Macaca mulatta: one gene and its partners. The protein of the gene in region 3 purifies or fractionates together with the protein of the main gene of each other region. This does not show direct contact. Links are inferred from orthologs where the notes say so. Each region holds a gene or a part of one and is shown on either strand. Other genes may lie near its edges.

Region 1 (3,744 bases), on a different chromosome or scaffold from region 3:
ACCTGTCTGAGCCCCAGACTCATGATTTTCCATCCCACTGCCTGTGAACAGGAGACGCAGGAAGAGAATGGTGATGGCTGCAAGGCTTCCCTCCTATCTCATGTGGCCCTCCCCACTCTGTGTGCATGGGGCCCTGCATCACCCCCACTTTACACCTGGGCAAGCAGAGGTCAGGCCCGGCCTCAAGCGTTTCTAGCAGGTGGTGGAATCTGCTTCCCTCACGTGAGGTCCCTGACAGGGTACACACTCATGTCTGCCTGGAGGCCAGGGGCTGACCCCTTGACCTTTGCCTGGTACCTTCTGCCTTCACTAGCACTGACTTTACATCCAGAGTCATCTGATCCCAGCGCCAGATTGGTCAGCGGTTCCTGAAATCCCCCAAGGTTCCGTGTGGGAGCAAAGAGAGGACTGGTCCATCCAGCCATTATACAGATGGGCAGACTGAGATCTTAGGAGGAGAGGAGAGAACCAAGGTCCAGGAGAGAGCCAGGATGGGGCCTCCGGGCTCGTGGGATAAAATGCACCGCATGCTGCCTCACTCCCTCTGAGACAGTTTCCCCCGGTGTAGAACAGGGGCAGCAACAACCAGCCACGACAACTCCTCGTGTTGCCTCGTCACCGGGCATCGCTGAGCTCACCACCAACCCCGCGCCCTGGCCGGGCGCCTGGAGCGCGGGCGCGGGCGGACGTTTGCTGGCGCCGGGCCCTCAGTGCGTGTCAGCGAGCAGCGCCGTCAGACGGCTGTCACCGCCGCCCGCTCACAGATGCGTAGACTGAGGCTCAGGTGTCACGACCTGACCAAGGCTAGTTCCGCTACAAAGTTGCCGACTCGGATCTGAACCCGGGTCAAATTTACAGAAAAGGAAACTGAAGCCCAGAGACACCAGGGAGCTTGCTGGGGTGAGGCAGCTGCAGGTTCAGAGAGCCAGGAGGCAGCCCAGCAGCGCACTTTTAACCCCCGCCCGCCTCGCCAGGCCCAGCCGTGCCACCTTTAGGGATCTCGGGTTTTTTCCAGACGACGCACCCGGGAGAACGCGCCCACTCATCGCACCCGCCGGGGCTGCGCGTCTGGGGGTGCTGGGCGGAGCCTGGCGCTTGCAAGGAGCAGCGGGCTCAGTGGGTCCCGGGAGTGGGTGGGGCTTGCGTGTTGACGGGCAGCGCGAGGGGCGCGGCTTTAGTCCAGGTGGGCGGAGCCTGACCGGACTTGGGTTTTTCGGGCGGCTGGCAGACTTGACAGAGAGCGGGAGGGGCCCGGATCCTGGGCCCACGGAGGGTGGGGCGTGTAATTGACAGGCAGGGACAGACCGGCGTCTGATAGGCAGGGGACGGGCCTTGGAAACGAAAGGGCCAATCGGACACGCAGGGGCGGGGCCTGAGTCAGCGCCGTTCGGCCGGGGTCCCCCCGGCGCTGCCCAGTCTGGCTCCGGCGCCGCCCGTCGCGGACTCGTCCTTGCAGTAGTCGCCGCCGCCGCCTCTGCTCCTCCGCCTGGCCCGGGCCGTCTGCCCGCAGCCATGAGCGTGCTCGGCCCCGGTGGAGCCCGCAGTCCTCTAGATTAGTCCCCACCGCCGTCCAGGACCCGCTTGCAGCATGGAGTCGCCCGCCTCAAGCCAGCCCGCCAGCATGCCCCAGTCCAAAGGTAGGCGATCCCGGCCGGAACCTCGGCCTGACCCCGCGCCCAATCTGGGGCCGGGCTGCAAACCCCGACCGAATTTCTTTGGTCCCACCCCATCCTGTTCTCGACCTGGCAGCGGCGTCCGGTCCCGGAACCCCTTCCTGTTCGGGGCCCCGGGACCGGCCGCAGCCTGGGTCCTCACCTGGACCCCCAGGTTAGGCCTTGGGACTGCATTCAGGCCCGAGATCACCCAGGCTGGACCCAGACTAGGACTTTGTTCTGCTCACCCCATCCAAGTCAGGAGCCTCACTCTGACCTCATTTGGGCCTTATGGCTGTAGCCTGGACAGGAACTCTCTCAGTCTTCTCCCTCAGAGGGACCCAGGTGAGATTCACACTGGCCTCCATCTGCGTCCTTGGGCAGCACCCACTCCCATTTCCAACTTGGGGTCCCAGGGCTGTATCCAGGCTGGGATTTAACTTAAGTCTCCATCTGGGCCCCAGAGTGCTTCTGTTGTTTCGGACCTCACTGTACCCGCTATGCGGGTGCTCTGGCTACACCCCAGCTCGGAACTCCCCGTCCTTCTCTCCTCCAGCTCTTCTTATCCTTATAGGCCCTATGTTGCCCCTTCCCTGGCTGGCCTGCACCCTGTCCTGCAGCCCTGTGCTCCCAGGAACCTCCCTTGTCCTCCCACCCCTCCCTAAGGTACAGCCCCCTCTCTACTGGCTTCTCTCTGTCTTGAGTTGCAAGCTTCTCCCTGCACTTGGGGTTCTCACCCCATCTTATTCCTCTCCTGGCTGCCTGGGATCTGGGCCAACCGCCAGGCCAGGGTGCTGGCTGTGCAAGGGATTTGCTCTTCTCCAAGTAGCTGGCCTTCCTGGAAATTTTTGTGAGGTGGCAGCAGCAGCAGGATTTGTCATGCGGAGGGGGAAGGATGAGACTCGGAGGGCAAAAGGGGAATTTTTTTTTCAGGAAGAGGAAAGGATGTTTTTGGTGCGTCGGAGTTTCAGTAGGCTGGGTTGTGTGAGAGATTTCCAAACCGGACGTAGCCGTAATGAATGGGCTGCCTCCTGCCTAGCTGAACCTGCAGCTGCTTCACCCCAGCAAGCTCCCTGGTGTCTCTGGGCCTCAGTTTCCTTTTCTGTAAATTGGAAGTAATCACACCTGCTTCTGTGGACGCGGGAGTGTGGCGTGGGGTGGTGAATACAAAAGAGCTCTGAGGTGTTCACTCAGCATAGCGCCTGGCGGAGAGCCGGCGCTCACCAGGGGACACTGGCTGCACACATCTCGCTATTGTTTCCATTCTTCTTGCTGGAAAGGCCTCCACTGCTGGAACTGCAGCCGCAGAGTGAGCAGGAGGAAGCATCTAGCAGCGGGCACCTAGTGGGCCCCTCATCGGGGATCAGCCGCTCTTCTGCTCTGGAGGGCGCAGGCCAGTGGGAGCCCTGTGGGGGCTTGGGGAGGGCACGGGCTCTTCCTGGCCCCTGCTGCTGGCTGCTGTGGTGGCTGGAGCCGGGTGGGCAGGATAATTATGCCTTACATAAGTGGGAGGCCGGATCCCTGACCATTGCCCAACCACTGTGAGTAACTCAGGAGGCACTTGAGGGGGGAGGTGTCTGGGGAGGGACTTGCACTGCCCAGACCTCGTGGAGCTTGGGAACCAGGAAATCAGACACTTCTCCACTCTGGAGAGCCTGGGGAAGGGTAGGAAGCCCTGTTTGTTTTGGAGGCTTTTTAGCTCTCCAGGCAGAGAATGCCTGATCAAAATAAAAGTTCCAGTTGCAGAGTTGTGAAGGGAGAGGGGTCATAGATGTGGTAAGAACGCTGTGAGAGGGCCAAGATGAACTTCTAGATAGGGACCCAGGTCGCAGATGAAATTGAGGGAGCTGGATGGAGGGTCAGGGACCTCCCTCAGGCCCAGCGACCCTGTAGTCTCTTTGGGATCTGGGGAAGGATGTGGTGACAGAGCCGCAATGCCCTTCACCAAAAACCCTATGAGCTTCTTCTTTTTTTCCATGTGCCATGCATTTTCTCATTTATTCCTCATAGCCTCATTTATAGATAAGGAAACTGAGGCGTTAAGTGCCTTGCCTGAGGCCACGCAGCTGTGACAGGCGGAGCTAGGGTTCCC
Region 2 (3,744 bases), on a different chromosome or scaffold from region 3:
CCACGCTGGCCTGGCTCCGGGACACATATCCAGCCCTGCCACCGTCTGCACGGCCCCTGGAGTGTACCATCCGGGCTGGTGAGGTCAGTGGCTGGCAGGAGAGGGCCAGGCCAGGCCAGAGGCCCCCAGCTAATCTGTGCTGCACCCCTTTTCTCCACCAGGTGCTGTACTTCCCTGACCGCTGGTGGCATGCCACACTCAACCTTGACACCAGCGTCTTCATCTCCACCTTCCTCGGCTAGCCAAAGCAGCTGGCAGGCATGCCTGCCACACACCAGCACGTCCCATCTCGTGCTCATGGATTTTATTACACAGACAGTGGCGGCAGTGGCTTCAGCCCAGCCCACCCTCACCTGCTTTTCCAGCCCACAAAGGAGGACAATCACGGCCCAGCAAGAGCTATGCTGAGAGGGGGAATAGTCCAGAGCCCAACAGCAGAACTTGAACTTGGAAGGGGCCAGGGTGGCCAGCAACACAAACTATGTACAGGGGTGGAGGGCTTCCGCCCAGGGCTCTCCTGGACCAGGATGCTGGGCAGGGCAAGGCATCTCAGTAGTCCTCCACCCAGCCATTCTCAGAGATGAATGCGTCAATGACTTCCTTCATGGCCAGGTTGGGGATGAGCTGTTCCTGGGTCAGGGGGCTCCGGGTCACGGGGTCAAAATGACCCACGCGCTGCAGTGACAAGAAGGGCAGAGGGCAGTCAGTGGGCCCAGGACCATGCTGCTGGCCCTGCTCCCCCAGCCGCAGCCTCACCTGCAGGTGCTCCTCGATGTCCTTGCGGTCGTAGGTGATGCCACTGGGCGTGATGCACGGCTCCCGCATCAGCTCAAAGCTGATCTTACCACACAGGTAGTCGGGGATGTCACGCTTCTGTGGCACAGGGGCACACGATCAGAGGCTGGGAAGGGGCACTGCTCCAGCACCTGCCACCCACCGCAGCAAGTGACAGACACTCACCTTCCTCTTCTCGTCCACCTGAGAGAAGAGCTCGTCCATGTCTGCCATGTACTTGTCCTGTGAAGAGTTGAGCACTGCACTTGTGCGGGACACCCCACCTCCCTCCTCCATGGGGCACAGACCCAACACAAGGCGGGGATGCTCCCACGCCAGGTGCACACACACAGACCCACATGTGGGAGGGGGGCACCCTCACATGCTTAGCCTCAATGCAGGCCTGCTGGGCCCGGACGTGGCTGTCGTCCTCATCACCCTCGTGGTTCCGCTGGCACTCTTCCAGCTCCCTGGGGGTTGACCAGGAGCCAGTAAGAGATGGACCTGGCCAGATGTCTGACCACACCCCAACCTCAGGGCTAACATTCATGCTTCTTCCCCACGTTTTCTGCTCGCCAGTGAAACCTTCAATAAACGCTCATGTTGGTAGTTGGTGATTCAGAATTATCCCAAGACAGGGCGACCTGGGGTGAGGGTCCCACCTCTCACGCTCCGCGGCAATGAGCCTGGAGAGGTAGGAGTGCAGCTCGCTCTCCTGGTGGATGCGCCGCTCCTCGATGCTATTCCAGCGCTTCTTCTTCGCGATTCGAAGAGCGCTGGGGATGTCGTCCCCGAAGTTCAGCCGCTGCTCCTTGGCCAGGCTGTAAGCTGGGGAACGGGGGCTTCAGGTCACTCTCTGGCCAGTCCACCCGCCTGGCCCCAGGGGCCCCACAACCGGGCAGCTTGTCAGCCAACCTCGCTGCAGATTGGCGATGGCCTCATCATAGCTCTCCATCTCCAGCTGGCACTGCCCCAGGAAGAAGTGCGCCTTCACAGACTGCCCGTCCAGTTCCAGGGCGCGCCGGCAGTCGGCCAGGGCCTGCTCGTGCTGCTGCATCTTCAGGTAGCACAGGGCACGGTTGGTGTAATATACGGCCACCAGCGGGTTCCGGGTCTAGGGACCAAGGCCGGGCCAGCCGCATGAGGGTGTAGGCTCAGCGCGCCCCCTCTGTCCCACGGCCCGTCCCAGCTTCTGCGCTCTGGCTAGAATCAAGAAACTAGGCTTCTCAGTCGTCAAAGCCCCTGGATCCAAGGATCTGCAGACAGTGGAGTACTGGCTGAGCCTATCCGCTTGACTCCACTTGGTTTTGTAAAGTTTTCCAAATCTTTGGAGAGTCCAGGCTTTGGACCTGGGATCCTCAAGGGGCGAGGGCCCCTGCCCTCCCCCCGACCCGGCCGGCCTCCATCCAGCATCCCACCCTCGTTCTCCGACACCCGGCGCTGGGCTCGGGAACCACGGCTGGGCTTTAGGAGCCCAGGACATGCCCCGCAGAGGAACCAGACCCTCGGTGGGGCCAGCCGGGCACGGGCCCGGCCCTCCCCGGCGCCGCCGCCGCCGCCGCCGCCGCCCTTCCCGCGCGAGCGCACTCACGATCGCGCGGCCGTAGCAGGCCGCCGCCTCCGGGTACTTTCGGCCCACGAACAGACGGTTGCCCTGCTCCTTGAGCTCCTGCGCACTCGGGCTCTTCTCGGGGCTTCCGCCGCCAGCGCCCAGCCGCGCGCCGCCCTCCTTCTCCTCCTTGCCCTTCATGGCGCCGCGCGGCACGGCCTGGGCTGCGCTCCCAAGCTCCGCGCCTGGCGGCCCAGCGCCTGCAGCCCGAGCCCCGCAGCCCGAACCCGCGATCCTCTCGGGCCCGGCCCAGCTCCACCGCCGGAACTTCCGGCCGGGGGCGGGACCAGCGGGGACGCACGGGTGGGGGCGAGTGGGGCCGCGCGTGCGCCCAATCAGCCTGGACGGGGACGCTAGGCCCGCGGCGTCGGGGGCTGGGAGGAACACTCCGGTTCCCTCGCTCGGCGCTCTTAAGGGTCGGCGTTCGCGGAGGCCCTGGCCCGCCCTGCTGAGGCCTCTTCGGAACCGGCCTCGGCGGCGACCGCCACACACATTCGACTTTCCCAGTGAGATGCCTTGGTTCGCTGAGGGCGCACTCCCCCAACAGCCTGTCCCGACCACCTGGCGTTCCGCCCCCGCCGCAACGCGCAGAGACCCCTCCCCAAGCAGCGGGCCCCATCCAGAGGCCCTTCCCCCGGCAGCCAGCCCCGCCCCCAGCAGCCCGCCCCATCGGCAGACGCCCCGCCCCCAACAGGCCGCCCCACCCAGAGGCCCCGCCCCCAGCAGCCAGCCCCTACCCAGAAGCCCCGCCCCCGGCAGCCGGCCCCGCCCCTCCGCGTGAACATAGTGGCTTCCCGCGCTGTTGGGTGTAAGGACCCCAGTCGCTGGGCCGCCATTCCGGAGCGCCATCGAGAGGTCCTACGGGCGCGCGCGGACCCCCGAGTGCGGCTGGAAGCCCTGGGCCGTTGGTAGAGTGGAAGGGGATAAAGGGATCGGTGGGCGAGCGCCCCCTGTGGCCGGACCTCCCCTCACCGCCCTTCCCCAGGTATCGGGAGGAGTTGCCAGCGGCCATCAGGGGCAGAGCGGAGAGCATGTGACAGGGAGCTGGAGCGGCTGCTGGCCTGGAAGCTGGCGGCGAGGGGCGGCCCGCCTCGAGGGCGGGGCCTCCGTAGGGCGGGTCTTCACCGGGGCGTGGCATCGGCGGGGCGGGGCCTCCAGAGCGGGTCTTCGTGGGGGCGGGGCCTCCCTGTGGGTCCACCACCCCGGGCACCCTGACCTGGCTTCTCACAGCAGCTGGTGACCACCAATCCCCCTGAGCTGGCTGTGCACTGTTCGACCACCACCTTCTGCCTCCTGCCAGATGTGGGCGCCGCGGTCACCCAGCTGTCTGCCCTCTGCGGTGTGGACCCACCACAGTCACA
Region 3 (3,644 bases):
TATTTATCAAAATGTCTGTCACTTTGGTTATGAATCAGAAAATACTGAAGCAGTTCTTTTGGCAAACACCTCATGATTTGAAGTAATTCAACATGGCATCTTGGATGAGTTCTTGTTTGCTGACTATATTATTTGTATATCAGAAGCAGGGTATGTGGTGATGTGTTTTTATTCATGCTTCTGACTCATTGCTAGACTTTGGGAAACCACTTTATGGGGTATTCGAAGTTCAAATCCAGCCTCTCATTTGGGTTAATGAGGTAATTGTAGTTGTGTGTTTACCTGGGATATACTTGGCCAGAAGCAGACTAAGGGCTCGTGGCCCTCTCCACTTAATTCTTTCCATTATGCCACACTCTCCACCAGTCTGATTCCATGCAACCTTAAATCTCTTCCCTTTTTATTTTATTCTTTTTTTTTTTTTTTTTTTCTGAGACAGAGTCTCACTCTGTTGCCCAGGCTGGAGTGCAGTAGCATGATCTCAGCTCACTGCAACCTCCACCTCCCAGGTTCAAGCGATTCTCCTGCCTCAGCCTCCTGAGTAGCTGGAATTACAGGCGCCCACCACCATGCCTAGCTAATTTTTGTATTTTTAGTAGAGACAGGGTTTCACCATGTTGGCCAGGCTGGTCTCAAACTCCTGATCTCGTGATCCGCCCGGCTCGGCCTCCCAAAGTGCTGGGATTACAGCACTTTGTGAGCCACCGCGCCCAGCCTTCATTTTATTGTTAGTCACTGTATCTGATGATGTGTCTGTATGGATGGCTCATGGCCTGTCTTTGATCTCTTAAACCTGTTAGTCCATGGACCACAGACAGCAGCAGGAGTCATGTATATTTGGATTACAGAATAGGGCACACCAGAAATGTATTTGCATTAATTTTCACAATGGCTTTCAGAATCTTCATGCTGTCATGATTAAGAAATAAGAATGAAAACAGAAGAGCTAAAGCATTCAATTTGGGAACTGAGAAATAGAGATAGAGCTAAGGAAATGGATGAATGAACTATATTCTTTTCTGGAAAAGATTAGAAGTATACATAATAACAGTCTTCATGCATTTGAAGAAATGTGTGCTGATGTTATTGTTCTCAAAAGACTAATTGTTAGAAGTTTGTAAGCGGCCCAGTGAAATGATGCCTCACTTATACTCCACTGTCTAGGGAATGAGAGCATACCTATTCAGAACCAGACAATATTGGCAAAGTAGTTTTATGTCACTGATGAAATCCATTATAAAAACTGCTATTTCCACTTTTATTAATAGCAGAGTAAACTGGAACTCACAAAATATATTAGGACTTGAATCATGTTTTTACAGTTATCTAACTCCTATAGAAAAATTGAAACTGTCATTAGATATCCTTCTGTTTTATCTTTTTAAAATGGAAATGTGTTTGAATTGCTTCCAGGTACCCTCCAGTATATGGCACCAGAAATAATAGATAAAGGACCAAGAGGCTATGGAAAAGCAGCAGACATCTGGTCTCTGGGCTGTACAATCATCGAAATGGCCACAGGAAAACCCCCATTTTATGAACTGGGAGAACCACAAGCAGCTATGTTCAAGGTCACACTTCATTTCTCTTAAAAACAAATGGATAAACCTTTTTATAGCTATTGGATGTTCTGTGTGTGTGTGTGTCATATTTTTTTAGATAAAGGGAGCTAAGTAAACACGAACTGAGAACACATTAAAGGTCAAGAAGAGTCTCTCTCAGTTAGAGCCAGCGCTGGTGCCTCACACAGTGGATCTCTCTGTGCCTTAGTTTTCTCAGCTATAAAGTGAGATTCAATGTAACTTCCATTGACCACCTTTTTTTTTTTTTTGAGACGGAGTCTCGCTCTGTCGCCCAGGCTGGAGTGCAGTGGCCGGATCTCAGCTCACTGCAAGCTCCACCTCCCAGGTTCACGCCATTCTCCTGCCTCAGCCTCCCGAGTAGCTGGGACTACAGGCGCCCACCACCTCACCCGGCTAGTTTTTTGTATTTTTTTTAGTAGAGACGGGGTTTCACTGTGTTAGCCAGGATGGTCTCGATCTCCTGATCTCGTGATCCGCCCGTCTCGGCCTCCCAAAGTGCTGGGATTACAGGCTTGAGCCACCGCGCCTGGCCTGACCACCTTTGAACAACACAGTATAAATAACACATGACTATACTGAAGATGATTTAAGCCCTTTGGGAAACAGTCTGAAAATTTTCCATGGAGGAAGATATAAGAACATTTTTTAATCTGTTTAGGAATTAAATCAAAATTAATAATTTCCTTTACTTCTCTACCATAATAGTTTGAAGGCTTCATTTTTTAAAAAAGAGCATAATTACCATTTTAAGTAAATCAATCTTATTCTCATATACTTACTCCTCTAGCTTGTTAATTTGGCCATCAGTAACTCCTATGGGAGGAGGAAGAAGCCCCACCTTTTGCAGTAGGAGGTACCTGATAATAGAAGTAGGCTTATGAGAGCACAAGTGCCAGCATTTTGGGATCTGGGGACTGAGCATGGCTATGACCTGCGTCTTGAATCCCTGCAGTCCTCCCCTGCCAGACTGCCAGGCCAACAGGGAGTTTGAAATGGAAACATGCTTCCCAAGTAGTAAAACTCACACGTCTGCTACTTTCTAAGGCAGAGAACTTAAAAAAAAAATTAATTAATTAATTAATTAATTAATTTATTTATTTATTGTGCTCTCCTGTGGTATCCAAGGCAGAGGACTTTTTTTTTTTTTTTTTTTTTGTGGAGACAAGAGTCTCAATCTGTCACCCAGGCTGGAGTGCAGTGGCGTGATCTCAGCTCACTGCAACCTCCGCCTCCTGAGTTCAAGCAATTCTCATGCCTCAGCCTCCTGAGTAGCTGGGATTGCAGACGTACACCACCACACCCAGCTAATTTTTTGTATTTTAGTCATGTTGCCCAGGCTGGTCTCAAACTCCTGAACTCAGGCCCTCCGCCTGCCTTGGCCTACCAAAGTGCCAGGATTACAGGCGTGAGCCACGCATTTGGCCTGAAAGGACTTTTGATGGTAATTGTTATTCCTCTCCCTGCTGCAGACCACGTTTCTAGCCCTTATTCCATCTGTGCGTAGCCTCTTATGAGGGGCCGTGTGTTTTGACAGACCTTCTGCTTTTGTGCAAAGCTTGGCTTTATGCTTGAAGACAATCTGATAGGATACTGCTGGTATAACAATGAGTAGTGTGACCAAACCTCAAAGAGCAATGACAGGTGCCAAGAGAGGTGCCTTTCTTGCCATGAGTGGATGTCTTTCTCTTCTTGGCCAGTCTTTCAGGTTTCCTCCAGTGTCTAGGACTTATCTGAAATGCTGCTTTATAATTCACGAATGCAGTGATTATTATACCATGTGTTTTGGTCACATTAGGGCCAGTCTAAGCTGTGCACAGGAAGTGATGCTATCTTAGAGAGACGGCGTGACATAGACTGTGGCACCAGTTTACAGTGTTTGAATCCAGGCTCCAGCATGGTCAAGATATTTGAGACTGAGCGAATTATTTAAACTGCTTGTGCCTCAGTTTCCTCATCTATAAAATAAGGATAAAAATAGTACCTATTGGCCAAGCATGGTGGCTCACACCTGTAATCCCAGCACTTTGGGAGGCCGAGGCAGGCAGATCACCTGAGTCGGGA

Evidence for each region. The genes of interacting proteins can lie anywhere in the genome.
Region 1: the proteins of MAP3K5 (region 3) and MAP2K3 purify together in Homo sapiens (co-immunoprecipitation; 4 studies listed by BioGRID and IntAct, with this or other methods). This does not show direct contact. The link is inferred for Macaca mulatta from reciprocal best matches to the Homo sapiens genes MAP3K5 and MAP2K3.
Region 2: the proteins of MAP3K5 (region 3) and STUB1 purify together in Homo sapiens (affinity purification with western blotting; 3 studies listed by BioGRID). This does not show direct contact. The link is inferred for Macaca mulatta from reciprocal best matches to the Homo sapiens genes MAP3K5 and STUB1.

The regions. Positions count from the first base shown.
Region 1 is NC_133421.1:22,179,730-22,183,473, forward strand, and holds the start of MAP2K3 (dual specificity mitogen-activated protein kinase kinase 3), read left to right. Parts: upstream 1-1,467; 5' UTR 1,468-1,588; coding exon 1,589-1,637; intron 1,638-3,744. UniProt on the Homo sapiens protein: Dual specificity kinase. Is activated by cytokines and environmental stress in vivo. Catalyzes the concomitant phosphorylation of a threonine and a tyrosine residue in the MAP kinase p38.
Region 2 is NC_133425.1:1,895,342-1,899,085, reverse strand, and holds the start of STUB1 (E3 ubiquitin-protein ligase CHIP), read right to left. Parts: upstream 2,525-3,744; coding exon 2,366-2,524; intron 1,978-2,365; exon of another isoform or gene 1,889-1,977; coding exon 1,690-1,888; intron 1,603-1,689; coding exon 1,437-1,602; intron 1,245-1,436; coding exon 1,157-1,244; intron 1,018-1,156; coding exon 961-1,017; intron 874-960; coding exon 757-873; coding exon of another isoform or gene 676-756; coding exon 550-675; 3' UTR 243-549; coding exon of another isoform or gene 162-242; intron 87-161; 3' UTR 84-86; coding exon of another isoform or gene 1-83. Other genes in the region: uncharacterized protein LOC106994901, read left to right, coding at 2,523-2,889, 2,931-3,055, 3,171-3,368, 3,617-3,744. UniProt on the Homo sapiens protein: E3 ubiquitin-protein ligase which targets misfolded chaperone substrates towards proteasomal degradation.
Region 3 is NC_133409.1:41,710,197-41,713,840, reverse strand, and holds part of MAP3K5 (mitogen-activated protein kinase kinase kinase 5), read left to right. Parts: intron 1-1,413; coding exon 1,414-1,571; intron 1,572-3,644. UniProt on the Homo sapiens protein: Serine/threonine kinase which acts as an essential component of the MAP kinase signal transduction pathway. Plays an important role in the cascades of cellular responses evoked by changes in the environment.